Caenorhabditis elegans: one gene and its partners. The protein of the gene in region 2 interacts with the protein of the main gene of each other region in a pairwise test. Each region holds a gene or a part of one and is shown on either strand. Other genes may lie near its edges.

Region 1 (8,764 bases), about 11 Mb from region 2:
AAAAGATATCCACTTTTGGTTTTTTGTGTGTAACTTTTTTCTAAGTGGTTATTTTGTTTTGAAACTTCACCACAGTGTTCACAAAATCTAAAAACACAATATTCATAAAAAATGTTCAACAGATTTTGAAAAAACTTCAGAAAAATTCAAAAAAATCGAAAAACTAGAAATATTGAAAAAACCGAGGTTGCAAGGAAATGACAATTAAAGTACCGGAATATGAGCAATTGGATTTAAAAACAACATAATTATGCTTAATACTTTGTCGCGTATCCGTTTGCATCAATAACAGCTTGACAACGACGTGGCATCGAGTCGATCAGCTTGTGAATAACTGACATGGGGATAGCTTTCCAAGCGTTTTCCAACTGGTTGAATTTGGCATCTGCATTTGAAGCCCGAATACCTCCAAGACGTCTTTCCAACTCTTCCCACAAATGCTCTATTGGATTCAAGTCCGGAGACTGACTTGGCCAATCGAGCAAATGCACACGACGACGTTGAAACCAGGAACGCACATGAAGAGAAGTATGCTTAGGATCGTTATCCTGCTAAAACACGAAGCCACGGCCCACATTTTGAAGTGCCCAGGGTCGCATTGTAGTTTCCAAGATGTTTTCGTATTGAAAACGATCCATAATGCTTTGGATTCTCCTTAGTGGGCCCATGGAAGTGCTGGTGAAGCACCCCCACACCATGACGCTCCCACCTCCATGCTTAACGGTTGGGCATTGATACTTTGGAGAGTACCTAGAGCCAACAGGACGACGTACCCAGGAATTTCCATCACTCCCGAACAAATTGAACTTGCTTTCGTCAGACCAGATGTGTTTAGCCCATTCCTGACGTCCCCAACGAAGATGCGCTTTTGCCCACGCAACTCGAGCCATGCGATTTTTCTTACTGATGAACGGTTTCTTGACTGGCTTTCGTCCGTGTAGTCCTGCTTGCTGTAAACGTCGACGAACAGTTCGTTTACTTGGTAAAGGTCCTTTTGGAGAACTTATAATCATTTGAATATCCGTGGCGGTCCTATGCGGATCTTCTCTTGCTGATCGGAGGATGTTGCGATTCATCCTATGGGTTGTCACTCGAGGCCTGCCGGGCGAGATTCTCAAAGCGACGGATTTCTAAACATTTATTATTAAAAAATAATATTTTTCGAACTCACCTCAGTTTGGTACTTCTTGATTACTTTCCAAATAGTCGACGGAGAACGTTGAATTTACAGCGCGAGCATTTTCGTGGGTATTCCTTGTTCGAAGCCAGCTACAATGGCTTTCTTGACGTCCAAGGAAAGATTTTTACACCCAACAGATTTTACCATACCTTAAAAATAATTTATCAACCAAACAAATCCAGTGCAACAAACAGAGTGCGTTTTATTGATAATTCAAAAAAAAATAATGAAAATTGGAAAAACGAAAAAATCAAAAAATTGAAATAAAATTCAGAAAAAATCGATAATCATGTAATGTTTGGTCCGCAAATTTGCGTAACATTTCGCTTTATGCACACGGAAAAATTCAAGTCAAATGGATGCTTGAGAAAAAAGTTACACACAAAAAACCAAAAGTGGATATCTTTTTGGCCAGCACTGTAGCTGTCCATTTTTGATAATCGAGCCCGTAAATCGAGACAAGCGCTACAGTAGTCATTTAAAAAGTTACTGTAGTTTTCGCCACGAGATATTCTGCGCGTCAAATATGTTGCGCATTACGTAATCTCAGAATTTCGAGTTCCTGTAATATCACATGATGTCAAAAAGCCTCATTTCGGCTTGATCTACGTGGATCTACAAAAAAAGCGGGAGAAGAGACACAGACTTCTCAACTGATTTCGCATGGTTAGGAACGTGCTGACGTCACATTTTTTGGGCGAAAGAGTCCCGCATTTTTTGTAGATCAAACCGTAATGGGACAGGCTGGCATCACGTGTAATATTAGCTAATCCGAAAAATATTCCAGCTGAACACTGAAAAATGCCCTAAAACATGTGAGAATTTTGTGAAACTTTGCACCGGGCCGCCTGGTTTTGGATACAAGAATTGCGTGTTTTATAGGGTTATTCCCACTTTTTGTGCTTGTGTGAGTTGAATTCTTTTTTTTTTGAACGAATGTTTACGAGACCCCAATAATGAGAATACGTATTGCACAACATATTTGACGCGCAAAATATCTCGTAGCGAAAACTACAGTAATTTTTTAAATGGCTACTGTAGCGGTTGTGTCGATTTATGGGCTCGATTTTCGATTTTTTGTTTAATTTCAACATTTTATCGGCAAATAAATGATTTTAATGCATTTAAAAAATCAAGCCCGTAAATCGACACAAGCGTTACAGTAGTCATTTAAAGAATTACTGTAGTTTTGCGTCAAATATGTTGCGTAGTACGCATTTTGAGAATTTTATGTTCCCGTATATGTTAAGTCCGGCGATTTTGAAACCCAAAATGCTCGCCGAGACGGTGGAAAATCCACGTTTGGCACCAAATATTTCGACGACGAGAATTTCGAGATTCTTCACGACAAAAAGTGAGTTTTTTTTGCCCCCAGATTTCCAGGTAAATCCCTATTCTTCAGAGGAATCCTAGGAATGGATAACTATGGCTGGGAGAACACAAACTCGTCACGATTCTACGTGACGTTTCGCGAAACTCCGTGGATGAACCGATTCCACGTGGCGTTCGGCGAGCTCGTCGAGGGATTCGATGTTCTGGATGCTATTGAGAATCTGGGAATTCTGGAAGGAAATGGGCCGCAGCAGGGCAGGACAAAGGCCAATATTGTGATTGCTAATTGTGGTGTTTTTGAATAAATAAATAGCAATTAAACAAAATTTGATGATTTTCTAATCGGCAATTCAAAAATGAAAAGGTACGCCAGAATTAATAAAAAGAGAGAAAAAAACATGTAAAACGGGATTGAACAACAATGAAAAATACTGCTAAACGATAGTACAGTACTAAACGGGTGGGGAAGGGGGGCAAACAAAATGTATCACGGAACGACGCTACACGATTTCAAGGTAAAAATTTAAAAAAAAAATAGGGTACAGCTATGAGTGGGGGGAGGAACTAAATAATTGCAATTATTTGAACTAAATCATCGACTTTTCATTGCCAACGTTGGCCAGGTGTTCGCGCCGCCTGTAGAGCACAATGTAGGATTGAAGAGCATCTCGTGGATTCGTGTGTTGGGAGACCTGAATAGTAGATTTATTAATAGTTAACTGGGCATTCCAAAAAGGAAAAAAACAACAAAAAAGGAATGGGCCGAACCGGGGATTGAACCCGGGACCTCTCGCACCCAAAGCGAGAATCATACCACTAGACCATTCGGCCACGGATAAGTATCCATCGGGAAGCGAAGGACGTAGAAATGGTAAGAAATGATTCTTTATTAGTCATTTGAAGCAAGCATGCTTTACGTCTCTGGCTTCCCGCTGAATATTTATCAGTGGCCGAATGGTCTAGTGGTATGATTCTCGCTTTGGGTGCGAGAGGTCCCGCGTTCAATCCCCGGTTCGGCCCTTTTTTTTAAATGGAGTTTCATATTTCTTCGAATCTCTCCGGCGTGATGTATCTTTTTGCATAATCGCATTGTGGAATCAATGTTCTCTCTCTCACTTGTTTGAAACAGGAGAACTAGAAGGTCACATTGCCACACGGAACCTTACCGATGAATCATTCAACGTCACGAACTGCTCCTCTCGTTTTCTCGATCGAGCCACACACCAATAGTGGCCGTAGTCCAGCGTAGTCCCACCATGGATCACAGCTCCGCACAGCTTATAGACGGTGGATGCGCCGGCGGTGGCCATACTCGTCACATCGAGAGTTTCCTGAAATCAAAATTGAATTTTTTTTTTGTTGCTTAATTTAACTATTTTTACCCATTTTTCCGAATTTTTAAGCACAAATTATTAATTTCTATTCAATTAAATGACTTTAAACACTTAAAAGTGCGGAAAAATAGGTGAAAAACCATTCGGATAAAACTGTGCGGCGGAGTTGCGAAATCGCGCGCCGCGGATTGCGCTCGCGACTCCGCCCTTTTTTCCTGTGCCGTTTTCTTTAAAAACTAACATTTAAGGTGACAGGCCGAGAGATTTTCTTCCCCCAACCATCAAACGAGAAGCGAGAAATGTGCATTAGCAGGATCTGTGGAGCTCGGAGAAGTGTGGGCTTCACTGGCGCGTCGGATTTCTTTTTGCACCTGAAAATTGGGGAATTTTGATTGGAAAATGAGTTCGAAAATCCAGTACTTTGAGCAATTATAGCCGAATATCTTGGATTCCGTGAACAGAGCCTGCATGAGTTCTTTAATGGAGTGGCTTTTGCCTGATGGATCCTTTCTAAGCATCCGAACCGTCATAACGGTGTTGTGCTCATAGTAGACGTGCTTGTTCTTGCACCCGGGGCATTGAACTGGAAATTAAAATTATTTTCTTTAAAAAAAAAATCAATAAAGTGCTTCAAAAACCTTCATTTCTTATGGAATATCCGAACAAATCATCGGCCACTTTGCGGCCTTTCAGACGAGGATTGCTCTGCACCGATATCTTATCGAGCTTCCCCAGAATCGCCAGGAGAGCATCATGAGCGTCTTCCTGGCGGCCTTGATTGAATTTTCGATCTTTTTTGAATGCTTCACGGAACCAATTGATAGTTCCAGCATGGCCATGGCTTTGAAGGAAGTTTTTCTTCCAGTTGCAGCAGAGACAAGCTGAAAATTAGCATAATTGCGAGAATATTTCATAGAAAAATCATAAATCAAACCTGTATCTTGGCATTGATGATCCTGAAGGATCCTTACAATTGCCGGAACATGCGATAATAATTGAACACACGAGATCGCATAGCAATAAATCGACGGATTCTGGATTCCCTTTTCCGGATAATTCTCTCTCAATTCTGACCAATTCCAAGCGTAGAGACTGCTGACGAGTTCATGATTATCCAAAATCTCGTTTCCCCGGTCTGAAAGCGTTCGTGGGCGATTTGCTCGATTTGCTGCAAAAAACAAAATTAATCAGATTATTCGCAAATTTTCCAAAGCTTACATGGTGAATCAGGCGTTTTTCTATTAACTTCAATTTCAGGAGCTCGGGGTGCAGGACGATTTTGTGAGGAGGATGATGGAATAGTATCGAAATTAATCCATCTGTTCGTTTTGAACGAATCCCAACCCTCATTTACTGTCATTCTGTAACAAAAAACGTTGAAAAAAAATTAGAAATTCAATTCAAAAGAAGAAATTTCAAGAAAATATAGAAAAAATCAAGAAAATTCAAGGAAAACTTCAAAAAAAAAGAGCGAAAATCGGAAAAAAGCTGAATTAAATAATTAAATTCGAAAATTAAAGGCACACACCATTTTCGGGACCACGATATCTCGGCACGAAAACAAAACCGTACCCTCGAATCCTAAATCGGGCCGAAAATCATTTTAATTCGAGGTTTTTTTTTCTGATTTTTCGAGTTTTCCTCACAAAATGAGAGTGGTTTGTCGTTGTTTCGCCGTCTCTGTCACCCGTTTGTGCTGTTCTATCGCTTGCCCGTTTTCTCTGCCGTCTCTTCAGCGCATGCCGGTGTGTGTGTGTGTGTGTGCGCGTCGCTCCTCCCATTTTCGTTGTTTTAGGCCTAAAATTTGAATATCTTTCTAGGATCTCAAGATGCTAATTTTTTATCGGCATTTTTGAACTTGTGTCTATGCGTTTCTCTCTACTTGTTCTCGCTTGTCACAGTTTTCAAATTTTATGTATTTATGCTTTTTTTCAGGTAATCATGACGGACGTCGAAAAACAGACGGAAATTCGCGAGAAGAAGGGCCGCAATGTGATGCGCGAGCTCAAGATCCAAAAGCTCTGTCTCAACATTTGTGTTGGAGAGTCTGGAGATCGTCTCACCCGTGCCGCTAAGGTATTCCAATATATTCTACAGTAATTCGTAAATTTTCGAAATATTTTCAGGTGCTCGAGCAGCTCACCGGACAAACCCCAGTGTTCTCCAAGGCCCGATACACCGTCAGAACTTTCGGAATTCGCAGAAACGAAAAGATTGCTGTTCATTGCACCGTTCGTGGACCAAAGGCTGAGGAAATCCTCGAGAAGGGACTCAAGGTCAAGGAATACGAGCTTTTCAAAGAGAACTTCTCTGACACTGGAAACTTCGGTTTCGGAGTTCAGGTTAGCTTAAAGTTGAAGTGTTCAAAAGTGATGATTATTTTGTTTCCAGGAGCACATTGATCTCGGAATCAAGTACGACCCAGGAATTGGAATCTACGGAATGGACTTCTACGTCGTTCTGAACCGCAACGGAGTTCGAGTTTCCAAGCGCAGACGTGCACCAGGACGCATTGGACCATCCCACCGTGTCGATAAGGAGGAGACAATCAAATGGTTCCAGCAAAAGTACGATGGAATCATTCTGCCACCAAAGCCAAAGGTCAAGAAGAACTTCTTCCGTCGTCGTTAAGTTTTTCTATTTTCTGAATAAACTGTTGTTATTAAAAATGAAATTGCTAATGTTTTGTTAAAGTTGTGAATCATAGTCTGATTGTCGTGGATCTGAACTTCAACTTCCTGGAATCAATAATTTTACGTTGCGAATGGTCTTCTGATGTAGAAAGTTCAGGATATTTATCCAGGAATTTTGAAAACTCATCGAAAAGGAGTTTGGTATTTTGCTAACGAGCTGGTCGTAGAGGTATCGAAACTTCTTTGAAGATCCTTCAGACAGCCATAATTTTTAATTAAATTTCAGCATTTGCAGATTCGAGTCAAAATTAAAAAAAAAAAGTTGATATTTTCAGTCAATTTATCATAAATATGCAGGGCAGACGTGCAAATAGACAATCTCAAAGTATGGCAACACATTCGGGGGAAGTACGATTATTGGACTGGGGGCAGAGAGGACAAAATCAATTTGATCTTGAAGATTCACAAGAATTATCGGGGGAGGGAAAGGCTTCTATAAAAATGCTATAAACTAAATGGGACGGAGAGGAGGGGAAGTTATGGCGATAATTAATTACAATGTTAGTGCATAGAAGAATTATTCGCTCTTCTCATTCTCATATGGTGCTGGAAGAGAGCTCTCGAACTGGTCGATTCCCCAGATTTCACGAGCGTATTCGGTGATTGTGCGATCTGTTGAGAACTTTCCGGTCGAGGCGATGTTGTAGAGGGCCATGCGAGACCACTTCTCTTGGTCGCGGAATGTAGCGGAGACCTGAAAATAATTTATTTTGATCAGTAAAAATTTGAATTAGTTGAATTTTTTGAGTTTTACCTTATCCTGGGCTTCAATGAAAGCGTCGAAATCGGCGCACACCATGAAACGATCATGATAGCGGAGCATGTTGGAGAGATCCTTGAGCTGATCTGGATCTTCTGGAGTGAACATGCCACCTTCGATTTGCTCGATGATCTGCTTGAGCATTGGGCTCTTGTCGATGAACTCCTGCGAAGAGTATCCGCGCTTTGTGAGCGCCTCAACCTCCTCGACGTTCATTCCGAAGATGAAGATGTTCTCGTCGCCCATCTCCTCGGCCATCTCAACGTTGGCTCCGTCGAGAGTTCCGATTGTGAGAGCTCCGTTCAACATGAACTTCATGTTTCCGGTTCCTGAAGCCTCGGTTCCGGCGGTCGAGATCTGTTCAGAGAGATCAGAAGCTGGAATGATCTTTTCAGCCATCGAGACACGGTAGTTCTCGAGGAAGATGACCTTCAAACGATCACCAACGATGGCATCATTGTTGACTTGTTCGGCGACGGCGGTGATCAAACGAATGATCTGCTTAGCCATATGGTATCCTGGAGCAGCTTTTCCTCCGTACAACACGGTACGCTTAACCATATCGATGTTCGGGTTCTCCTTGATACGATTGTAGAGAGCAATGACGTGGAGAATATTGAGAAGCTGTCTCTTGTACTCGTGGATTCTCTTCACATGCACATCGAACAACGAAGCGGCGTTCACGTTGACATTGTACTCGTCGCTCAAATACTGGGCGACTTGTTGCTTGTTCTCGAGCTTCACACGACGAATCGAATCGAGGAACCCGGCATCGTTGGCGTACTCCTTGAGCTTCTGAAGCTCGTCGAGATTGGTGATCCACGACTCGCCGATCTTCTCGACGATGAGGTCGGCGAGAGATGGGTTGGAGAGAAGAAGCCAGCGGCGTGGTGTGATTCCGTTCGTCTTGTTTTGGAAGCGATCCGGGTAGAACTCATAGAAGTCACGGAAGCTGGAAATGGATGATATTAATTTTTTAAAATGGTAATTTTGCAATTTGCGCGTAAGAAAAATTGGGCGGGCCGGGATTGCAATTTGCGGCGCGCGATTTAGCAACACCGCCGCACGATGTTTTTTCTCTTTCTGTCCGAATTTTCAATGACAAATTATCAATTTTTCGTGATTTTATCGAGTTCACATATCGAAATCTTTCAAAACATCATGCGAAAAACAGCCAAAATAAATTCGTGCGGCGGAGCTGCAAAATGATGCGTCGCCCATTGGTTCTAGCGCCAGGTTTCAGAGCATTTTCGCTTACGTGGAGCTCTTGAGAAGATCCGAGTGAAGAGCCGCGACTCCATTAATGGCATGAGAAGCCACAATGCACAAATGAGCCATATTGATGCGCTTCTCGCCGAACTGATCGGCCTCCTCGACAATCGACATACGACGCATACGGTCGAAATCTCCTGGGAATCTCTGCGAGATGGTGTTCATGAACTTCTGATTGATCTCGTAGATGATC
Region 2 (8,300 bases):
CAAATTTTATCAACTTTTAAAGTCAATTTTATTCAAGTTCTAATATATTTTATAAAGTCTATAGCAAACTATGAAAATTATACCTGATGAATTTGCTAGACATACTGCAAAAAATTCCCGGAACGTAAAAATCAAACTTACTAGTTATCCGATTTTTTGTCATTTTAGGATGTTGAGTCCATACTAATTAGTCTCAAGATAAACATGATTAAAACTAATCGAAAATTACTTTCATTCAAAAACTAGAACTGAACAGTTCAAAAAGTTCTTCGGCTCGGGAGTTGGTTTATCTTATCTGTTTACAATAGTAATAAATGGTTGAAACAAATGTGTCATTATTTTGATAATTCTAGGTGTTCAAACTCCCGATGTTTAGAGATTTATTTTCTAAATCCTTTTTAAACATCTACTGTTATTGTATAGATGTAATCTGATTGAGGATATGAGCTGATTTCTTACAGATTTCCTTAAAAAATCTTCACTTCAACACACTCACTTCAAAAAAACTATATCCTAGATCAAAAAAACAAATGAATAATCTTTGAGAAGTATACATATATGTTGAGGATTGGGAAATGATTCTGATTTTAATTCTGAGGACATATGTATTTTTAAATTAATGATCAACAAGTTCAAGTAACGTCAAGTACTTGACATTTCAAAATTTTTCTCCAGGGATTCTAAAAAGTCTAGTCGAACAAAAAAAGCAGACAGTTACATACATTTTGCGTGCTTCTAGATTTATTTTTTTGTGAAACCAAGTTCTTCAAGAATCACCAGAATTTACTTTTTCTCACTAAAGATTATTGAGTTTATAATTATTTTGTAGGTATCATGAGAATTAGGATCTATAGAGGTATAGTCTACAAGTATGTACCGAGAAAAGCATACCGAATACCCCTGTTTCATAACTTTCTGACTACTTTTTTCCCAACATCTTCACTAACCTGGCCTTGTAGACGAATACATTGTGAATCTTGCCTGTTTCGACAGGCCAACAGCTCCAGCACGTACTGCCGCCATCTTGTTCCTGAATTAATTCTTATTGCCAATACGAAGAAAAAAGAATAAAAGTGTCCAAAAAGAGTGAGCACTCAAAAAATGCATTTTTGAGTAGTGGCGCGAAATGGATTTACTTCACCCCGACGATGGACCGGCGGCGCACTCGAGAATAATGGAAAAAATAAAAGAATAGGGCGGGTACATTCTGGTACCTGCAATATTGTCAGAAATGCATGAATTGTGAATGAAAACAGTGGCAATTTATTAATTGAAAATATCAGTTCCCAAAAAAAATTGAACAGAATCCAATAAAACCTGAACGATTTTTTCTTTTTTTTCCGACGCAAAAATTTTCTCTGGAAAGAGAAGAGAAATTGTGGGTAAAATGAGCACATAGAACATGAAAAGTTGAGGGATTAGGTAAGAGTCTTGTTTTTGTGCAAATAGCTAGAATTGCGAGAAAGAAAAAAAAATACTCGTTGACTTGTGGGAACGAATTCTGATATCACCATATACTGCTCACAGCAAAAATGTTGACTGATAAGTTGGTGGCAATGTGTAACAACACGGAAATGAACAAGTTACAAACTTGCAGATAAACAGGAAAAGTTGGAATCTTGCAAGATGTTAAAATTTTAGGAAAAAATTATTTGGGGTTTTCTCAGTAGCATTCGCAAAAAAAAAATTTATGTGTGTTTCAAATTTTGCAAAAAAATGTTTTTATGGTTAAGCTACAAAATTCCACGGGGTTTTCCAGAAGACATAGGTTTCAAAAAATTAATAGGCTTTTACCAAAATTATTCTAAAACTTTCTAGTTCGTACTATTTTGAATTTAAATATTGGGAGCTTGATTAAAAATTTCTATCTCTAACTGAACATTTCTATAAATGTGGCAGTTAATGTTTTTAAGTTATATTTTAATTTTTTTAATGAGCACAAACAAAGTGTATGTTGTGTTTATTGGAAGACACGCTCTACTGTTGAAAATAACTTTGAGACAATTTTAAAAAATAAATAATTTTTTCGGGTTCAAGTAGGTAAATATAAAAGTCCAACTACTGATATAATTTAGTTGTGGATATATAAAAATAAATCAGCTATATGAAAGGAGTATAACCAAATTTTTATATTTTTCAGGCTTTCTTTAAACTAAAAACATTACTTTTGAACTATAATGAACTAATAGTAAGTGAAATGGAAAAATTCCAAATTGAACTTTTCAGATAAATATTCTTTAAAACTTCAGGTCAGTACAGTCATTTTAGTGTATTTCTTGAAGGTTTGCGCAAATCCAAAAAGTAAATGCACGTCTTTACCTTTTTGGTTCATTCATAGCTTTACTTAATACATTTACCACATTATTGGCTGAACTTGCCTATTGTTAAATAATGGAAAGCAAGGCAAGTGTGCCATTCAAAATGACATCATTCATTCAAACCATAGAAACACTATTCATATTCAAAAAAGAGAGGAAAATAAGCGTTGGTGAAACATAACGACATGATTATTTGGAGGAGCACATGATCAATTTTCAATTTTATTCGAATTTCCGGTATCCGAGATTAAAGTGATGATTTTATTGGATTTTATCGATCGTTGTTTTACGAGGAAAATGGTAGATAACTCAACGAGAAAAAGATCATGTTCAAAAGTTTATGACTCTAAATTCAAGTGTTCCAATTAGAAATATAAGTATTTCAATAACGAGGAAGTAGACAAAGGGGGAAGTCAATAATGAAAATAATTGATTCCAGATATTCTCAACTCCATCAATGAAGGTCAACTTTTGCTCATTAACAAGGGCACTACATTTATTTCTGTTTTAAGTGGGAAATTGAATGGACGCAGATGTACATAGATATTTACTTCATTTAATTTTAGACCACAATGTGAAAGAAAACAAACGACTTACTTTCAAGATCTTTGAAATTTGAGAAGATAGCAAAATACCATAGAATAAGACTTTTTCTTGGGATATTCAAGAAATTCTGGTTAAAATATCATTCTTGTTATAGATGTGAAAACTGTCTAACTAATAGTAAGACGAGTAGTATAAAGAAATTTGGTTTATTCCAGAGCCGTGTTCAATGTTCACTAATTTTTTTAAAGAAAAAAGTCCGAAAAGCTTCAGAATTTTTCCTATGGATTAAACTATAGTTTAAAATATATATCACAACATGCCTAAAAGTCTGTAAAAAACCGTCTTGAAGTGATAATATGGTTTATTGGTAAAAAGTGTAACGGTCTTTTTTAAAACGAGATTCTCAAAACTTGGGCTTGCCAGCTCTATTTCCGTTATTACACGGATCTCACATTTCCTACATTTTGTCGACAAAAAATTGTTCTGGAAAAATTAATATGCGTTCATTTTGTAATAATACGATTTCAGTAAACTTTAAAAGCTTTGTATCTCAATTCGTCAATTTCTATCTGAAATTGTACCCGAAGAGACAAAAACCTTTTTAAATATATTTTCAGTCTTTTTATTAAACCACTTCACTTGATTTTTTAAAGAATTTCAAAGTATTTCAAATTTAGAAAAAAAATTTAACGAAAATTCTTTGAATCCATTGAAAATTATGCCAAATTGTGGCTAACAGAAAATCTCAAATAGATTCAATAATCATCTAGAAAACTTTAAATAATATTTTCTTAAATTTTATAGTAAATTCGTGAGTGTACAGAAGATTACGTACAATTTTCTCAATGGGTCTCGCCACGAACTCCGTTCTCTTGGTATTTTCAGCTGCCAAATTAAAAAAAAAGAGAATAGTACACTTCTCATGTCATCTCATTTATCTTTCGCTGTTTTCTGAAACTTAAAGGTGCACAGAATTAATCATATGGGTCTCGCTGCGAGAAAAGTTTGAAGTATAACTTTTTGATGTACATTCTAAACTGTACACTTAAACTTTTTCCTCGTGGCGAGACCCATCCGAATAAACCCTTGCGGCTTTACGTGTGACGTTGCGATTAATAAACTGAAAAAGAGATGTTCAAAAACCGGTAATCCATTTTTAAAGAGTTAAGTTCAATGGAGGACAAGACACATAAAACTAAAAAACGAATGTTCATCAACTGAAATTGAGCTTCTCCCTTCCTTCTTCTTTTATTCTTCATGCACCTCCCCTTCTGCTCAAGCTGATATCTAACCGGAAATCGGTTACGTTGCGAAATTGAATATCCTTTTTTTTCGATATTTCTGAATTTTAGACTTGAAAAATGAACGACAAACAATGAAAAGTATGAATGAGTGGAAAGAAAAAAGAAAAACAAAGAAAGAATCGAAACATGTTTTCATCTTTTTTGCATTTTCAACAACAAGAACCCAGTAAAAAGCTAATTTCTCTCTCCGTCTCTGTGTGAAAGGAGTGCTCGGAGAGCCGATTCGATTCCATTCCCAGGTGGGGCTAAAATTTGGATAAGTGGATTTTTATGATGCAATTTTTGTTGGTCTCCGTTTTGGAGCACACCATCCAACATCAGATGAAGACAGACAAGGAATACAATTGAAAATAGAAATGAGAATTTATTCTGTAATATGAGACCACATGCGTAGTCATCATAATTCGTGTTATAATTGCTCGCTTCCAGACAATAATTATGAAGCAGCTGAAACTGACGACATAAACGATGTCAACTGCAAAAACTTTAGTCTTCTTCCATTCGAATTCCAATGTGACAAATTCGATTTTTCCAATTTCCGAATTGAAGATAGACGTTGCGCCGGTTCCAATCGAGTCAATTTTATTAAATAAATAAAAACGAAGAAATTCACCAAAATACAAAAAAGTGTTCAGGATCTGACTGTGGAATTGGAATTGTGTGCCAGTAAAATGGGGAGTGTGGGACGACAAGAGAAATGGAAATCGTTGAAGGGGGTAGATTAGATGTGGATGTGAGGAGTAAGGATGTTGAGGAAGTGCAAAACGGGTAAAGGATACTGAGATAAAAAAGGATTAATGGGGAAAAGTGAAGAGATCTTCCAAATAAAAGTGCTTGAATTTGAAAAATAAATAAAACAGTTGGGATTTGGGCGGAAAATTAAATTAGATTTAAGGAAAATCAAAAAGTAATACTCATTTGACAAGGAAAAAGTGGTGTACAGTGATTGAATATTATTTTCAGAGGAGATACTGAATTCGACGGCGGCACATTTTAGTGTTTTACTCTGTCTTCTGACGCTTTTCACCACCTTCCGACTCAAACTGAGCTGCTCTCTTCGCATCGCTCTCGTTTCTTCGATCATCTCCCTCACGCTCACCATCGTAGAAGTCTCCATCGTCTTGAATCATTCCATCGGTAATTTGTGGTGGTAGTCGTTTGTCGGGATTAGCTTGGTCGGCGATCAATGAGTCATCATTCAATGCAGAGAGGGCGTCTTCTGGGATCGCTGAAAAATGGAATAATTATGAAGTGTTCAACAAACATCTAATAATTTTCTGACAGATTCTAAAAAGTGAACAAAAATTCGTTCAAAACGTACGTCTCATTTGAACACTTGGAACAAAAGTGAGCTGCTCGAGATTGGCGATGACGTCAGTTTGCAATTTAGCCAGCATATCGGAGCTATTTTCATTTGCTGCATTCGACGACTCGATGTGAAGTCGGTAGTTTGGTCCAAAGTATTCGAAGTAGTCATTGTATGGCAACTCATTTGGAACTTCCTTATCGACGGCAATCGAGGTTTCGTACGTCCAACAACGTGCCACATTTCTTGGAGTGTATCCACCTCCACCGACCATCATAAGTGGAACGTTGTAGCTTCGGAAGAAACGAGCACATTCTCCGTGGCCTTTCAAGGTCAGATTGAATGGTCCAAGTCTATCTCCGTTGAGAGAATCAGCTCCACATTGAAGAACAACAGCACAGGGATCAAATCTCTCCATAACCTTTGTCATGATTGGTTTAAAAATACTCTGGTAAGAGACGTCGGTGATTCCATCGCGAAGTGGAACATTGACTGAATAGAGCTTTCCTTTTCCAGCTCCTATATCTTTCAGGTCTCCGGTTCCTGGGAAGAAATCTCCATATTTATGGAATGACACTGTCATTACTCGATCAGTCGTATAGAACGCCTCCTCTACTCCATCTCCGTGATGAACATCAATATCGACGTAAAGTACTCGCTTGTGGTACTTGAGAAGCTCGAGAATACCGAGAACGATGTCATTGGTGTAACAGAATCCGGACGCCTCGCTTTTCTTGGCGTGATGGAGGCCTCCCATCCAATTGATAGCAATGTCCACCTTCTGCTTGTTCAATTTAGTGGCAGCAGCCAGAGAACCTCCCGAACTGAGTTGGCAGAACTCATAAAGACCATCAAAGAGAGGACAATCTTCTCCAACATTGACTGAAATGAGACAATACATTTAGTTTTAAAAAGAATATAACTTACACTTAAGCATTTGTTTGTTGAAGGATTTCAGATTATCTGGATTCGCACTCTTCAAAAACGTCATGTACTCGTCGCTGTGAAAACGAGTCATGTCTTCGAATGATGCAGGGAATGGGCGCTAAAATTAAACGTTTACAATATTTCAATGAAGAAATATTACTTACGAAAATCTCTAAATTCCGGTACAGACCATAGTTGAGAACGAGATGATGGGTCATTCTGATACGATGTGGCTTCATGACGTGCCCTTGACCATAATAGTAATTTCCAATGTTGGAGTCATAGTAGTAGGCGACACGGCGCTTACCGTGCTCCATCAACGGGCCGTTTGAGTTCATGTTTGATGGTCGCAGTAGACTGAAATAACAAGATTGCTCGAAGAAAAATAAAATGAAGAGAAGGAGAAGGTGTAAGACAGGTTATGCAGTATTGATCGAGTTTTTGGCTAATTTTTGGTAATCGATATAAACGCGACGTGAAAACGCTCATTACTATAACACATTTTGATCAATAAACTGAATTCGGCAAGATCATTGAAGCGGAAAAATATAAGAATTGAGGTTTTGTAAAAACTTTGAAGGAATATAATTTTCAAAGACATATACTTAAACAGGTGGCTGTGGTTTTTTGGAATAATTTAGAGCACTGGAAAATTTCGCCAGTGCCAAGGAATAAAAAATTCTGACAATATGATATACTGTCTTTTGGGCCTTGTCTTGAAATTATTTAAATTTTCTTGGCACAATTTCTACAGGAATCTAAACTAGCCAGCCACAATCTATTATCAAAAAATATCAATCGCACAGGCCACATGGCTTTTGATTTTTATTTCTTTTTTATTTAGGCTCCTCCCATGATTGACCTTTAGTTTAATTTTTAAATTCACTTCGGAAATAAAGTTGTGGGAGGAGCTTAAATAAAAAACAAAAGCCACGTGGCCTGTGCTATTGATATTTTTTGATAATAGCATTTTACGAAATTGAGATTAATATTTGAGAGTGAGTTCTCCAATGAATTTCCTGGCGCCATTGCTGGAAGTATTTTTATTTTGAATCGAAAAATGTTTAAAAAATATTATTCAGTGCCTACAAATCGATATTTTCTTCCTTGAACGGTGGGTCTATTAGACAGGTGCAGCTCAGTGAAAATAACTATTCGAAACACTTCAAGCGTCGTCTTTTTATTATATTTTGAACAAATATAGATATAATTCTAGTAGAAAACAATAAGAAAAACAGAAAAGTGAGAGAAAAACGAGGTGAACGGTGAAACAGTTTTGAACGAGAACAGGAGGCAGACAAAAAACGCAGCGTCGTAAGTGTGTGCGGCGTGTTTGCACACAACCGCGAGCACGCACAATCTTGCAAAAAGGGGCGGGACGAAAACCGCCGTCAGTTTTTGGCTTCCCAATTTTTTATTTTTAAGCTAAAAATTGCTCTTTTTGAGTTTTTTTTCGATGTAAAATATTGATAAATATAAGTTATTTTGTTTATTTCTTGCAATTCACGTTCAATTTTTCCCCACGCTCTCACGATGTTGAATTATGTCAATTATCTTTTTTTTTAGCTTAAAAATATCAATATTCAAATAAAGCTTAACTACATAATCATTTTTAGTTTTGTAGGTAATCAACTATGGTCGTAGGAAAGCTCTTTGAGGCAGCAAAGTGGACTGCCGAGACAGTCAAAGGAGCCGCCGTCGTCGTTGCTTCTCCAAATGCTCCAATCCCGGCCACAGACCTTCATCCACGCATGCCAGCCCGGCCATGGACCGCTCAAGAATACGTAAGATTTCCCGGAAAGTATGAAGAAAATAAATAATGACAATTTCAGTTGAGAATGTGGTCCTGGCGCCATTGCTGGAAGTACCTCCCAATCTTCCGTTTCTACATTTACTCAG
Region 3 (7,592 bases), 2.8 Mb from region 2:
AACATATGCATTTAAATTAAATAAAAGTGTTCACTTTTAAAATAAGCACGTGGTGATATTGAAATAATAAGAAAAAAATCACTATAAAAAGAACCTCAGAATTCAAAAAATCTATTTCGAACAAAATGGTTGGTGACGGTTCACTTTCTTCTGAATCAGTTATTGGTCTTCACACTTACAATAGTGCAGCCGATCTAACTAGTGGACATGTGTAAGTTTTCAAGGTTTTCAATAATATTTAAGCTTAATTCATTTTCAGTATGACACTTGAAAAAAACGAGTATCTATTTGATCTGAACACAAAAAACGCTTGCACTCGTCCACTGGATATTTTTATCAAACTTCTTTCAACTTCCTCTGTCGGAAAAGAGTTTTCACATTTCTCGTCTCTTCCATTGTCACGACTTCGCACTGTTGACGCTTTCTTTGATCACCCCGAATTGAATAAATTTGGAGAAATTCAAGTTTACGAGCAGACGCGTGTTCGAGCCGTTCATCGTCAAGGTAATTCAAAAACTTCAGAATAAAAATATGTAAAACTAGTGGGGCGTTACGTCATTACACATTTATTTACTACATTATATTATTTTAGTATCGCAATTTATGTCAAGTCGTTAGTGAAATTTTAACAAATTAACTGAATATTCCACGATATCTCTATTTTAGTTCCACGCCTTGATGTGGTGGCAGTACGTGAATTTCAATGTTTGACGTTCAAAAACAGAAAAAAAGCGTTAGGTCTTTCATGTAGGCGCCAAAACACCTGCCTGCCTCACCTTAAGGCGACCTTCGCCTGCATCGCGCACCGTCTATCAAAATAAATATGAAAATACCCCCTTATGGCTGTCACAAGGGACACTAAAAAGACGGAATGTCTAGATTCTGACTACCCGTCTAAATCCAATCTTCTACACATTTCAGGTCATAATTACCTCAACTCAAGTTGGATCGACGGATATCGTGAAACTCGAAAATTCATTGTCGCCCCGTCTCCTATGTCTGAAAGTGTTGCTCAATTTTGGCGGTGTGTTTTCGATCGTAATTCTCTTATTGTGGTGACACTGTGCGAGCTCCTGGATGAAAAGGGAAAACCATTTGTGCCTGTAAAGATTGGAGAACCATTGGTAATTGATGATATGACAATTGAGTTGGATAACATTCGAAAAGTTCGACCGGCAACTTACTCTTCTGTTCTGAAGATTTCTGAGAAAGGTGTCGAATCTCATAAAACAGTGATTCTTCTGACCTATAGTGGATGGGGAAAACTTGGTTATCCACAGAAACCATCTGATATTCTGGATTTATTGGCAGATATGAACCATATGAGAACAATTCTCAGAAAACAGGGACTTGAAAAGAAGATTTTTGACGACAGTCAACGGACACCAATGACATTGGTGTGTTTTGATGGATTCAGTAGAAGCTGCACTCTTGTTGCTTTGGATATTCTTTGTCAACGTCTGACAGCCTCTCATGAAATTGGTACTCCATTTGTTGATATTCTGGATACAATTGCTAGACTTCGAATGCTTCGTGGTGCAGCCTGCATGGTGATACGTTCTTTATAACTAGATTAAAATTAATATTTTCAGAAAGCCGAGCAGTTTGTCTTCTTATCAATGTCAGTTCTCGAATATGCCATTCGTCATCATTTGGTGAATGTGGAGGATCTCGGTAAAATCAGCTTGAATGGGTTTATCATTCGCAATAATCCTGAATCTTACTGACCCGTTTTTTCAAGTCTACAAATAAAAGATTCTTCAAATTTTTTATTCTCATTTTATTTCCTTCCGGATGACCTACATTAAAACTTGAGTCATTTTCCCAATTACCACCTTTTTGGAATGTCACTTTCAAGTGTCAAACAATGAATACGTACACATATCTTCAGATTTACTTTATATTTCTTCACATCTGTCACTGCCAAATATTTCAACAAATTCCAGTGAGTCCAGTAACTGGTTTGAATTTCAACAACTTTTTTAGAATCTGATTTATCTGAGAAACTATCTTTGTCAAGAATGTTATTATCTTTCAGAAAAATTTGTTAGACAATTTTCACAACGTTCGATGAAAGGATATTTCTGAAAGTTTATAGTCTTACAGGTTGGAATGGGTATGGGAATGGGTATGGGAATGCCTATGGTTATGTCAATGCCAATGCATAATCTTGTTGGAAACCCATTTGAACAAGGAATGGAAATTGTACGTTTTCATGTCATGATTTTCAATTCATAGTTCTCTAAAATTTAGGAATACTCTCCAATAACTCAACTTGTTTCATCAGTTGCTCATCTTGTTGAAATGCATCAAAAAAGTAAAGAAAGAGAAGAAGATCATCAAAATTCCCATGGTCCAATGTTTCCGGAATTCTCACAGCTACAGAGCCAGATGAGACGTAGGCCATCGATCTCAGAATCTGGAATTTCATTGAATGGACCACGATTTAATTTAATCCCGTACAGTCAAGACGGCCTGGGTTCATCTGGTTCATCGACAACGTCTAGAATTATTAATTCAATATCTCGTAAGAATGGATTTCTTCAACATGAGCAAAAATTCAATTTCAGCTGATACGATTCCACCTGTAATGTGGAGGATTGGTGATCTAATTGGAAAGCATGATACAAATGAAAAAGAGAACTTGTACGATATGACTAAGATCAAAGGATTCCCTATTACTAAAGTGGGTCGATTTACAGTATATTAAAGTTGTAACAATATTTCAGAGTCTTGATAATGAGAAACTATTTCGAGATGAAGATTTTGCAAATAAATCGAATAAATCTTGGACAGTCTTGGAAATTGCTAGAAAAATGTTGGGTGTTGGTAAGTTTTTCTTCTGAGTTTGCAAAATTCATTTGATGCCCTGTGTAATTTTGAATATTAAACAAAACTTTTTGTGCAAGATCGCTGTGAGACCTTTTGTGAAAATATAGCGTGTATGTACCTTTAAAATGAAGTCTCAAGTTTTTAAGAAACTTTGATAATTCCAGATGAAATACCGACTGCCAACGAAGGAAATGCAATAGCTCAGTTGATTGAAGAACTTCGAAAAAATAAAGAAAATTAGTTGAAATCATCTATTCCAGTTTAAACTTGTAAGAATACAAAATTCAATAAATTATCTATCAACTATAATCACTGTCGTTTCAAATATTCTCCATAATCAATAACTCCATCTCCATTAAAATCCAAATCATCCAAAACAGCATCAACAAGTCTCTCTGTTTCTGCTTCATCTGATACTGGAACAGGATGTCCGGAATCTAAAAAGTATAAAGATAAGTCTATAATTGATTGGTTATCCAGTACCGTGTGCATCATGAGTGTGAGTAAGAGCCTTCAAAATTTCAATTCCATCAATAAAATTGTCCTTATTCAAATCATGCATTGAGAAATAATGGAACCGTTGTTGTTCTTCTGTTAGCTTCTCAACTTCGATTTTATTTTCCAAATGTTGTTTGATATGTCTTAAAACAAAAGAAGCGTACTATTGAAAATCTTTCTCAAATTACTAATGAAATGTGTCTTGAAACTCTTTTCGAGAAAAACTAACTATAACTTCTAACTGTAAGGGAAAAATGTAAATATTAACATTTTTAAAGTAGAATTTTAAATAGTTGTCAATATTAGGAATGTCCAAAACGCTACCTATTTCTCAGCCGTGAAACTTTTTGACACCACCGGATGTGCGCCTTTAAAGAGTACAGTAACTTTTGTTGTTGTAGCGCTTTTTTTAATAGATTTTTGCTCAAATGCTTTAGTTAATTTTTTCAAAATAAAAAAATCAATTAAATCATATAAATTTTGAAAAATAGTGTACCAACAATGAAAGATCGATGAAATTAAAAAATTACAGTCCTCATTAGAGGCACACATCCGCTTGTATTTGACAAGAAGTGTCGTGTCGAGACCGAGTTATGTGCTTTTAGCGCGAAAATTGCTAAATTTCGCATATGGCATATAATTGCATCTACATTTACTTTAACCAAACTAATTTTCATACGTACACTTGCACTTACTCTTCATCGTGTACTTCTTTTTCTTCAGCAAACTTTGCTCCTTGAGCTTCTAGCACTAAAATTTAATAATTTATAAACATTAGAAAGTTATAAACAGATTTGCATACCTAATAGAAGGAATACAGTTGAGATGAATAAAAATCCACGCATTATAGAGTGGGAATATGTATAAAATCAATAGAAATAGACAGAAAACTCTTTTTCTCAAGACTGCCAAATGTCAATATTTTATTATCAGTCTCCCCCTGCTTCGCCTTTTAGTTCCAACGCAAAATTTGGTAGTGCAAAAGCAAAAGCAAACATGAATTTTATTGTTACAGGTGCTAAATACAAATTTTCATTTGTTTTTATTCGATCTCAACTAACTATAAGATAAACCAATAAATTATGCTTTTTACAAATGGGTTTCGAAAAATCATCACAACTTGAGAAATGATGGGGAAAATGCAAAATTGGAAAAATAACTAAAGTTGTAGGACTGGGAAATGGGGAGGGTGTCTGACTATTATGTACCAGTTAAAGTGTTAAAAGTGACGAGGATAGTATGATAAAATGATTTGTTACAGCAGTCGATATAACCCATCAAAAGACGTAGAATGTTAATAAAACATTGAAAACTTTGGAAACGAGGAATTGGAAATTATGGCTATTAATTAGATCGTTGTCCTAATCAGAATTCTCGATTATTGTGTGCCACCAGCTTTCTGCATTTGTTCCTGGTGAGATCTTGCTTGATCTTCTCGAAGCTTTTGTGCTTTGAGGAACTCTCCGTAGTCGATGAAGCCATCAGCATTGAAATCGTCGTCCCTGAAAATATTCAGTAAAGTATTTTTTTAAGACTTTGAATATTTTAGTGCTTTCTTATGCTAATTGCTAGCAGTAGTCTCTAGAAAATAAATTAATTAAATATATATCTCACTTTAAAATACTATCAATCATCGTCTCCAATTCAACTTCACTTGGGAGTGGTGGTGGCTGATGATTGGCATTGGCATTATTTTGTGTATGCTGTGGTCCTGGATTCTCGGCATGGAAATGCGTTATTGCCTTAATCAACTCGACTCCATCCAGTTTCCCATTTTTATCTAAATCGTGCATATTGAAATAATGGAATTGAAGTTGTTCTGGCGTCATGTTAGCAGTTGGGTCCACTTTTCCGTCCAAATGTTCTTTTATGTGGCTGAAATGTTTTAAATTAATTTTGAAAATTGTTATTAAAACTTACTGTTCATCTCTGGCCTGTTCTCCACCAAACTGCTGTTGCCCAGGCTGAGCATGTTGAGCTTGTTCCGCTTGGCCACCCTGATTTATTCAATACAATTTACAAAATTAAAGAAGCTTTAAAATAATAAAAATCACTGTATCCAGATTGTTTTTCAGTTCAATTTCTAGCGAAAATAATTTTCTTATTATTCTTTACAAACATTGTTTACCTGTTGTGGTTGCTGTTGATTAGAACCAGGAAACTGCTGTGGTTGGTGGGCAAAGGAACCAAGAATGAGGCAAGATACCACCAAAATGTTGGCTGCCATTCCTGTAATATTATAATCACTAAAATATAGACAAAACTAAGTAAGAATACAGAAAACGGAATCAAAAACGGAAGCGTGAAGTGGAAGCTGTTATTTTATTTGTGTCGATTTACGGGGAGATACGGTAATCGGGAGGCAACGTGTTCCAAATCTTACGGTAATCGCTGAAATTTCTTAAAACAATAAATCGAAACGAAAAGTTATGTGTATTTTTTTAATAAAATTAACTTGACTGAGCATTTTGGTTGAGAAATATAAAACTTAAACTGAAAATTAAACAAAAAAAAAAGAAAAACTAGTGCATTGAGGAGCGTGTTTGTTGCGCATAAAATACGCAACGCCACGCACAACCTCCGACCACACATTGATTTTCTTCTCCACGAAGTCGAGCCGGTTTAGTGGACTGTTGCGACAATGCAGCGAAATATTTGTTATTTGTTTTTCTTTTGAAATAATATTTTTACCGTGACATTTGAATATATTAATCTTTTCGACGCTTTCAGTCATTTAAACAATATTTTTCAGTTTGTTCGATGTCGGATGTCGGACTTTCACAACATTAGATCTCGTCGACGAATACCAGAAGCCAGTTCTTACTCAACAGTCGATTTTGATTACGATCCAGATCAGAAGAATCACACTTCAGCAGTTGCTCCGACTAGTTTCGCGTATAGCTCTCTCACAACCGTTTTCAACGCGTCAGCTTCACAACTTTGGAATTCTGCGCAGGTTTGTCTATCGGAACGAAGAAAGATGGCTATCTGTATATTTCTGGTTTTTATTTTTTCATGCATATATCTTTCAGGAGGCGCTTGTATCCTCCTACGACACAGCGGAAGGCACTGAAAGCATAGACGCAGATCGATCAAAGGTAGTAGAAACACTTGAATCGCTGAGTATTTTTGGAAATCCACTTGATCATATCATTATCACAATGCCATCAAGAGATCGAACTTCGGAATTCCGGGCGACAGCCAAATCATACGAAGTGAGTTTTTTCATTAAACTTCTAAAAATAAGCTTTTATTTCGAAACATTTACTTTTAAAACGTGTTATTCGGGTTTCACATCAACATTTGGACGAGACGAATATATCGATTTTTGCGAAACTCGAAATACACTTCGAACAGAAAAAAGAAACACGAATCACCTGTTAATATTTTTAAAAACATTCTAGGCGATAATATTTTTATTATTTATATAAAATTCGGGTAACATATAATTTTTCAGATGAAAGCAGCCGCAAATGGAATTAGACCTCAACCAAAGCATGAGATGCTATCTGAATCCGTGCAGTTCAATCAACTCGCAAAGCGAATCGGAAAAGAATTGAGTCAAACGTGTGCAAAAATGGAAAAACTTGCCGAATATGCTAAGAAAAAGAGCTGCTATGAAGAACGATCTCAAATTGACCATCTTTCATCAATTGTCAAGTCTGACATTACGGGTTTGAACAAACAGATCGGACAACTTCAAGAATTTTCAAAAAGACGTGCAGGAAACATGAAAAATCAAAATAGTGGACATATACAATTAGTTGTAGTTGGATTGCAGTCAAAATTAGCGAATGTCGGAAAAGATTATCAAAGCGTACTGGAAATTAGTACAGAAACAATGAAGGCTGAAAAAAATCGCCGAGATAAATTCTCGAGTGGTGCAGCAGTTCCAATGGGACTTCCTTCCTCCTCTTCCGGAGCTAATGGTATTTTATTTTCCTCGCTCATTCAATAAAAATCTGAAATTTTAGTTCGTTCAAAGCTTCTTCAAGATGATGAGCAGCATGGCTCCTCAAGCATAGCTCTGGATATGGGTGCTCTGTCAAACATGCAATCACAACAGACTATGGTAAGTTTTCAATTTGAAAAATATGAAATTTTTTTTGAAAAACTATCAATATTAAATTTCCAATGCTCCGTGTTTAGGAGAAGTACAGTGAAACTTTTTTTAAAAATTAATATTTTTTGCCAATAAAGCAAGTTTTATCGAAACTAATTTAGAACAGCAAAGAATACATTTGAAAAATTGCGATGTTACA
Region 4 (7,980 bases), on a different chromosome or scaffold from region 2:
TAATGAAAACAATTTTTTAAAAAGCCACAGGATTTTTAAATGAATGAATAATAACCGATTACAGAGGAACTGAAAAAAAACTGAAAATGAGTGTCTGTCTGAGCTTCTGACACTGCTTCTTCCCTCTCTATGCCTCCCCCGGCAGCAAAACAACTTGAAAAACAACAGCTGATTTGGCATTGGAGCGTCTATGCAACCGTATCGAGTCTCTGCGTCTCTCACTCTCGCTACGAATGTTCCAAAAAGGCCGCCGTGAAGAAAAATGAGAGAGAGAAGGTTCGTGTTGAGAGACGGAAGAGAGGGCAGAGAGAGTGGTTTCAATGGAAATTTATGATTTTGTTGGAGAATTTTCTTTAGTGAATAGTAAAATATCACGAAAAAATCTAAAGATACTTGGAAAATCTGAAAGCAATTTCTATTACAGAGTCGCGAAATTTTTAATTTTTGCGCCCGGCCTCGACACGGCAATTTTCGTCAGATACAAACAAGTGTGCGCCTTTAAAGAGTACTGTAACTTCAATTGTTGTGGAATTTTCATCGATTTTTCGTTAAAAATATTAAAACTTAAATAAAAAATAATGAAAATTCGATGAAAATTCCGCAACATGTGAAGCTACTCTTTAAAGGCGCACACCTGTTCATATTTAACAAAAAACATTTCGTGTCGAGACCGGGCGTCGTGTTTTTAAAAATTAGCACTCACCACGCATTTTTTGCATCAATTTCAGAATATTTGAGATTTCCAAAAGCTACAGTGAAATATGAATACAACAAATATTACACAAAAAGAGATCTGAATGGGGTGAGAGCAACGAGAAAGACTGTCAAATCTCCAATTAGGGGCTGAAAACGAAAACAAAATTCTGAGTCGGGGCGGGCAGACGTGATATTATGTTGTTGAATTCTATAGGGAAGGAATCTACGTTACTAGGTCTCGAAGCGACCGGAAATTTTATAGAAAAGCTACGAAAAAGGGGTTGCGCCTTTAAAAAGTATTCCATTCAAGTCTCACTTTTTTGTTTCAGAAAATTATTCGATCTGCGAATTGTGGAAGGATATTCGTAGCAACTACAGTACTCCTTAAAGGCGCACACGCTTCATGCCTGCTCTACAATAAACATTTTCTATCGTGTCGAGACCGGCTACCGTATTCTTTTGTAGGAATTGAAACAATTTCGCATCTTGGCATCTGCAAAGGACTGGAAAAAATGTTTTAAAAACCAAAAATTTGCAGAAAATAGGTCATTATTTAATTACGTCAAAACGCGTTGTTCTGAAACTGAAAAAAATTAATCTGGAAAATTAAAAAGCTGACGTGACCTTAGATTTGAAAAGAAAATGATATGCATAAAACGTGGGACCTGTGGAAAACACGATGACGAACGAACCTTTGAAATCAAAGAAAAAACACATTATTTCGAGTTAGTCTAACAATTTCCTGTACGATTTTACAATTTTCCCGACGAGCAAATGCCTCGGAAGCGTTCTAGATCCGAAAACTACGAGGATCACATTGCGATTCATCATACGCTTCAACCAGTGACGTTCATTGAGGAAGAGGTAATTTGAAATTCTATGAGACTTTTTTTTTTTAAATCTCAATCTCATAATTTTCAGTTAATTCTGGTGTGGCGATTCCCAGTGGACATATCCCAATCTTCTATCGGTGGACGGACAACTTTATCAAATGCCTGTACCCTCATTGCTCTGAAAATTGCCGAGCTCGTCCATATTCATGACATCAAAATGCCAATACCGTATCCAACTCGAAATGATCGTGTGGCGGCCGGTGCTGAGAGGACGCAGCGGAAACATTATATTCGTAGCTCTGCAGATGAGACGGTTGTGGATAACAATGGTTTTGAAACTGTAAGACTTTTTAGATTAAGCTTAATTATTGGATTATAAATTTCTTAATTTCAGACTTGCCCACCGCGACTTATTGGTTGTCTGATTAATGGGATTGTGGATGGAAATGACACTTATTCAAAGCACGCTGGTGACGAATCTACGAGAAATTACAACTTGCCAGATGCAATCAAAGCATGTGATCTTAGTTTTTCGGAAGTTGATTTCAAACTAACTACTGGATCAATCAAAGAATCTCTACCAAAACTAATCAAGATGGCTGTTCGGCAGTAGGTTCAAAATTTCAAATTCTATAAATTTCCGGCATTTTTCAGTCCATTATTTCAATCGGAAAGTCGCCTTGTCTTCATCATGATGAGCTGTGTTCGAACAGTTTCGATTATTTTCGATAGAAATCAGGACACGCTAACTCTATTCGACGCACACCAGCATTACTGGCCAGATAATAAAAGTAATATTTTATAGTTAAGCTTAATAGACCAATTAAATATAATTTTCAGAAACTTATAAGCACGGCGCTCTCATTGGTACTTGTAGCTACAGTAACTTGCACTCATTTGCAAAATGGATAGAAAATTTTGTGTATCCGGATGTCGCCGACCATGTTAATGTGAGGATCTACATTTTTTTTCACCTGTCATTACAAAATTTCAGGCATTTGAAATTTCGCTGATAAGAATTACGGAAGCCGGCACTAACAAAGCTCAAGGTGTATGTAAATATCCGGATAATAAATTCACAACGATCCGAACGCCAGTTTTCCAGGCTATGAATTTGCAGGAGGACAAAGAAAGTAAGTTTGATAGTGATTAAACGAAATTCAACAAAAACTAGATTGCAGATCTGAAATTGTCGGACCATCCAGTTCTCCTCGGCATTCTCTCCAAACCCCCAATCGTAAAATGTGGAGTAAAACGACGACACGACTCAGAAAATGGGGAAAACGAATTTACAATAAAATTAAAGAAGGTATTGAAACACAGCAGTTAAACATAATTTTAATTTCTTTTCAGAAATCGCCTAAAACGACTTCTGAGCGGACTTAATTACAACTTGGAAGATTCTCAACAATGTGCCATCGAGTTTTATGTGATATACAGTTTTTCTCTAGTATTTAGAATAAAAGTTTTTAATAAATTCATTTTGTTAAAGAACTAGAAGGAAAATAGGCAAAAGAAAATGCAAAAACAAAAAAGAAAAAATAAAGAAAACTCCAATTGCTCGTCATATGTGATGCGTTACAGTAATATCTGTGCGGCACGCAGACGCAACATTGCACAGCGCGGGAAAATTTGTTGTTGACAATTTAAGTTTATACTCCCAAAAAATTGTTTTTTCTCTTTTCAAATGAAAGTTTTGCTGAAGTATTGTGTTTATTTTTGTTTAATTAAAAGTTTTTAAGCGGCGGCAGTGTTAATAAGTGATTCAAGCTGGAATTATCAACTGAAATCAACCAAAAAATCGGCCTGTCGGTCTGTTCTAGCGGTAGAATTCTAAAAACATCATGAATACAGTTTATATGTTTGTTTAAAAACATTTATTGATAAACCTTTTCGAAACGTACTAATTCCCGCCGTATGGCCGGTTTTTAGTGGACTAGGCAACGCTCGGTTTCTAGGCTCTCCCGCGCTATTATACTCATTTGAATTTATCCGCTTTTTATTGAATTTTGAATATATATCGAATAGTATTTATTTTCAGATATTAACAAATCAGAAAATGGACACTGAAAACATCGCCGACGCCTCTGATATTCGTGTGAAGGATGCTTCAGGAGATTCAGATGAAAAAGGAAACGGGACTACTACAGAAGAAGAGACTGTCGAGCAGAAGTAAACTTTTGCTGCAGAATATCATCAATAAAATCACTTTTCGTATTCCAGAGAGAAGCGTCTCGCCGAGTTGCTTGCAGCTGGACGCCGTGCGTTGAAAGTTAACGATATCGACAAAGCATCGGATTCGTTGAGTGAGGCTACTGAACTGAGCTCCGAAATTTATGGAGAAAACCATGAAAACACGTTCGATTCTCTTTACTATTATGGCATGGCCACACTGGAATTGGCGAAGGAGGAGAGCCAACTTCTGAAAGGTCCAGGTGAGAAGGAAAGCGGAGATGAGGAGCAAGCTGGAAATTCTGATGACAAGACTGACGAAGAGAATGGAGAAACGGAGAAGGAGGACGGAGAGGAATCCGGTGAAGAAGAGGACGATGATGATGATACCATGAAATTATCATGGGAAATTCTTGAGGTTTCTTATTTTATTCAATGATTTTATGCTTAATTGTGATTATTTTCAGACAGCTCGTTGTATTGCCGCTGCCAAAATCGAAGCTCTAGAAGCTGAGCAGAGTGGAATCAGTGCCATTGAGGAATGGAACCTGAAACTCGCTGATGTACTGGTTCTCCTCGGCGAGCACGGAATATCAGATGGAAAGTATACTCAGGCTTTTGAGGACTTGGATCGTGCCCTCAACATTCAGCGCAATGTTCTTCCACCGTCGTCGAGAAAAATCGCCCAAACCTACATTCTCATCGGAAACGCGTGTGCTAGCGATGCGAATTACGATGAAACCGTTCAGTACTTCGGCAAAACCAAGGACGTACTCATCGCCAGGCAGACTGAGTTGAAGCATGAGCTGGAAAGAGGTGTTGATGATAAGGAAAAGAAGTCTGAATTTGAGAATGAGCTGAAGGAGCTTGAAGAGATGATGCCAGGCGTTGAAGAAATGATTGCTGATGCTGTGCACTCTGCAGCACAAGTTGAGGAAACTAAGAAGGCCATTAAAGCGCAATTCGAAGGATTCACACAAGTATTGGCAAAACTTCCACAAGAAGCCGGTGATCAGAAGGAAGCAAATGATATTTCTAGCTTGGTACGGTTTGAATTAACTTCCCGTAGACTTTTTAAATATTCAATTAACAAATTTCCAGGTTCGTCGTCCAGCAAAACGAGCAGTGGATGCTCCAACTGACAATCAAGCAGTGAAGAAAGAAAAGGAGGAGGAAGGAACAACTTCGATCTGAATATTGATAACCTGTAATTCTAAATATTTCATCATGATCTGACCTACTGAACTACTGATAATGTATCAATTAACATTTTATCTGTTATCCGAATTTAAGGATTCTAAAGTAAAACTTGTTCTGTATATATATATTCGCCATATATTCGTTTTTATAATTTGTTTCAAATCTTTTTCATACTTCCAAAATAATTTTACTATTTAAAACAGGATTTTCAGCTTCATTCAAATTCGAATTATACTTGTATGAGTGAAGAATTTGATGATTGCCATTGGAAAAATATGATCTCTGCTAATAAACAGTTTGATATTCAGCTGGGAGATGAAATTGGAAAGGTAATTTTTTTTAGATAATTAACAATTTAAAAAAAGTAAACTTAAATTTTCAGGATTTCTTCACCCAGGATACAGTGGTCTGCGCGTTTCGAAACAAGGAGAAGACCACGGATTTTGTCTTCACATCGGGTCCAATTATTCTCATTTGTGATGGAACGACGCGACGGAAGATGATTAAACGACGGTTCAAAATGGAGTTTGATATCAAAAAAGTGTTCTTCCACTCGTTCATTGTGACTCGAAACGCTGAAAAGTTGGCAACTGAGAATTGTGGTGGACCTGATACGAAGCATCGGGATTATTTGGTTGTGTGCGGTGAGCATAAGCTCCAGTTCATATCGCTTCCCGACTATCATTTCTATCACTATGAAATTCCTTTTAAGGTGAGAATTTAGTTTGAAATTCTGATAATTTCAAATATTTCCAGCTTCGCAACGTGTTCTCCTGCTCGACAAGTCTTCTGGTCGAACGGTTCTACGATTCATCCAGCGAACAAACCTTCCACCATCACGACACATTTCACCTCTACTCGCTATCCGGTCCATTCGGCGAGCTTCTCCCGGTTATCTACAAGACAAGCGGCTACCATCCACAATGGAAATTCTGTTGGCAATCGCATCGAGACGAGGCTGGACTCGTTGACGCTCAGCAAAATTACGTTGTTGTCTATGATCAGAAGGAGAAGACGCATCGGATTTATATGGCACGAGAGACACAAGAACAGGAAGTTCACGCAGCGATTCGATACGTTGAAGCACTCAGAAGACCGTCTGATTCAACAATGTTCGCGTCGAGTTTGGCGCCGAATTCTGCCGGCAGAACTACGCATTTTGATCCGACACTCAACTCTCCCGCCGGTAATTTTTGAAAACTTGAGCTTTTGGATAAATATATTATTCGTATTGTATCAGACATTCAAATCGTCAATATTTAGTTAATTTACAGTGATTTAAGTTAAAAACCAAAAAAACCTCGTTTCGAACAGGAAATAATTCGATTTTCCCCAAAAACTACTAAAAAAATCAAATGTTAAATTAGAAAGAGTTGTGATTAAAAACTAAAAAATAAATATTTTCAATTATGATATAGTGTGGAAGTCCGAGTTAATTTATATTCAACAAAAAATCATAATTATTTTCCAGAAAATGTGCTCTCCGAAGTGATCAGCTCGGAAATTGATAGCCGCTCACCGTTCACTCCTCATCTGCGATCCGGTTTTGGACATTCTACTCCAAACAACCCGAACGCTCCAGGCTACCCTGCAACACTTCCAACACCGAATTTTGAAGGTAATTTTTTTTTTTAATTCATAAAAATTTATTAGCACCATTAACCTCAAGTCGTGGGCGATCGTGCACGATGATGATGATCAAAATTTAAAAGTGTTATGCTTCGCCGTTGCTGATGCGCTCGTCCTGGCACTCGATTCTGTTTGACTTGATCTTCGAGGGGGCTCAATTGAGACGTCAACTTGAGCAGTTGAATGTCGCAATTATTTAGAAGAATTGACGGGTTGTTGGGAGAAGACATACGGCGGTTTCTGAAAATACGTGAAGTGAGAATTATAGCTGATGTCCGTCAAATTGTTACATACCGTAGTGCTGTGAAGTCTTGGCTATTCCTTTGAAGAGCTCCACCCGCGCGGAACATACTTCTTCGTCGATATGGAGTAATTGGAGATGATGGCTGAGTTGTTGTAGTCGTCGAGTTGCTCTCTGTTGAGCCAAGAAGAGCACACATTGGAGCTAGATTTGAGTAAATTAGAATATGAATTTAGCCAACAGAAACCAACAACAAAAAAACTATAAAACGAAAAGCACACGGCACACAGCAAACCTAGAAGTTAGTGTATTTATTGTTATATATATATATATATATACGTGGTGAGAAGGAAAGTGTAGAAGCGAACAAAATCAACTGAAGAATATCGAGAAAACTATCTAAGTGATCTACGAGGTGGTGGTGGGCGGTGTTTAGATGATGGTGAGCTACGACACGAATGTGAATGATGAACTTGAGACGCACCGATTGCCGGCGACATGTTCGGTTCGAGAAAATGGGAGGCGGATCGGGAACGTGATGAACGCATCGATGCCATTGAGATTATCGAGCTGGAATGTTTAGATTTTTTTGTGGAAGATATGGAAGAGCACTTACTTTGTAATGCTTAACCGAAGAGGTGTCTTTTCACTTGCACATCCCTCATATCCTCGTTTCATTGATTCGATTAACATGCAGGAAAACTGTCTCCAAGACTCACAAACTTCTTCTTCTTCACTTTTCTCCGCTGCCCTAGACCTTATTCTCAATATTCGCCGAATTCTGAAAACCAGTTGATTTCCCACCCGTGATGTAAATTGTCAAAAAGTTACTTGCTATCCTCTGTGACAACCCGCATGTACATTTTGCTCATGGCGATCGGAAGTTGTTGGGCAAACGGAGCCCAAAAGCAGTTGTCATTTCCCTCATTCATATAATGTCTATAAACATTTTTGTGAGTGTTGTCCCACCCACGCATATGACTAACCGATGGCGTGCTCCGAGACGGAAGGAAAGCGTCTTGATCATTTCTGGATCACATTTGTGAACTTTGATGAGTATGTTGAGAAAGTCACGAACTTGATTGATGATGTTGAGAAATTGAGCATTTTCCTTATAGGTAGCGTGCATAGTCTCTGGTAGATCAACAAGAGCCCATACCCATGTGGGTGTTAACTCGGCGGATTTGAGCCAAGCCTCACTGAAAACAA

Evidence for each region.
Region 1: the proteins of hda-1 (region 2) and T22F3.2 interact in a two-hybrid assay, tested with the Caenorhabditis elegans proteins (2 studies listed by BioGRID).
Region 3: the proteins of hda-1 (region 2) and F55A11.1 interact in a two-hybrid assay, tested with the Caenorhabditis elegans proteins (2 studies listed by BioGRID).
Region 4: the proteins of hda-1 (region 2) and nasp-1 interact in a two-hybrid assay, tested with the Caenorhabditis elegans proteins (2 studies listed by BioGRID).

What each region holds. Positions count from the first base shown.
Region 1 is NC_003283.11:3,583,082-3,591,845, reverse strand, and holds T22F3.2 (Ubiquitin carboxyl-terminal hydrolase 36), read right to left. Parts: upstream 5,208-8,764; 5' UTR 5,207-5,207; coding exon 5,065-5,206; intron 5,015-5,064; coding exon 4,781-5,014; intron 4,728-4,780; coding exon 4,485-4,727; intron 4,430-4,484; coding exon 4,267-4,429; intron 4,218-4,266; coding exon 4,088-4,217; intron 3,844-4,087; coding exon 3,679-3,843; intron 3,533-3,678; exon of another isoform or gene 3,461-3,532; intron 3,344-3,460; exon of another isoform or gene 3,272-3,343; intron 3,205-3,271; coding exon 3,100-3,204; 3' UTR 2,834-3,099; downstream 1-2,833. Other genes in the region: T22F3.12 (Peptidyl-prolyl cis-trans isomerase), read left to right, coding at 1,968-2,087, 2,431-2,534, 2,583-2,817; rpl-11.1 (Large ribosomal subunit protein uL5A), read left to right, coding at 5,788-5,922, 5,973-6,188, 6,238-6,477; pygl-1 (Alpha-1,4 glucan phosphorylase), read right to left, coding at 7,057-7,233, 7,294-8,251, 8,558-8,764.
Region 2 is NC_003283.11:14,523,847-14,532,146, reverse strand, and holds hda-1 (Histone deacetylase 1), read right to left. Parts: upstream 6,759-8,300; 5' UTR 6,740-6,758; coding exon 6,566-6,739; intron 6,520-6,565; coding exon 6,402-6,519; intron 6,357-6,401; coding exon 5,490-6,356; intron 5,397-5,489; coding exon 5,170-5,396; 3' UTR 4,736-5,169; downstream 1-4,735. Other genes in the region: kcnl-4 (Calmodulin-binding domain-containing protein), read right to left, coding at 948-1,023; ril-1 (RNAi-Induced Longevity), read left to right, coding at 8,036-8,185, 8,234-8,300.
Region 3 is NC_003283.11:11,758,822-11,766,413, forward strand, and holds F55A11.1 (EF-hand domain-containing protein), read right to left. Parts: upstream 5,565-7,592; 5' UTR 5,558-5,564; coding exon 5,459-5,557; intron 5,328-5,458; coding exon 5,251-5,327; intron 5,206-5,250; coding exon 4,945-5,205; intron 4,833-4,944; coding exon 4,709-4,832; 3' UTR 4,318-4,708; downstream 1-4,317. Other genes in the region: T04F3.3 (Tyrosine-protein phosphatase domain-containing protein), read left to right, coding at 126-211, 260-504, 922-1,550, 1,593-1,727; T04F3.5 (uncharacterized protein), read left to right, coding at 1,868-1,945, 2,107-2,205, 2,254-2,527, 2,571-2,686, 2,730-2,829, 2,997-3,073; T04F3.4 (EF-hand domain-containing protein), read right to left, coding at 3,142-3,269, 3,316-3,473, 4,026-4,080, 4,133-4,175; syx-5 (Putative syntaxin-5), read left to right, coding at 6,098-6,286, 6,363-6,545, 6,788-7,259, 7,305-7,402.
Region 4 is NC_003280.10:11,103,048-11,111,027, forward strand, and holds nasp-1 (Protein NASP homolog 1), read left to right. Parts: upstream 1-3,564; 5' UTR 3,565-3,588; coding exon 3,589-3,701; intron 3,702-3,752; coding exon 3,753-4,119; intron 4,120-4,168; coding exon 4,169-4,744; intron 4,745-4,802; coding exon 4,803-4,895; 3' UTR 4,896-5,023; downstream 5,024-7,980. Other genes in the region: C09H10.5 (uncharacterized protein), read right to left, coding at 704-710; C09H10.9 (YqaJ domain-containing protein), read left to right, coding at 1,471-1,560, 1,618-1,869, 1,924-2,138, 2,184-2,320, 2,370-2,479, 2,524-2,662, 2,711-2,838, 2,883-2,915; apc-1 (Anaphase-promoting complex subunit 1), read left to right, coding at 5,177-5,230, 5,284-5,613, 5,658-6,087, 6,373-6,519; glb-4 (GLOBIN domain-containing protein), read right to left, coding at 6,566-6,770, 6,825-6,975, 7,256-7,341, 7,388-7,552, 7,603-7,710, 7,758-7,970. UniProt on the Caenorhabditis elegans protein: Promotes normal hermaphrodite (XX) development, in concert with zinc finger protein tra-4 and histone deacetylase hda-1, perhaps as components of a complex. May act redundantly with nasp-2.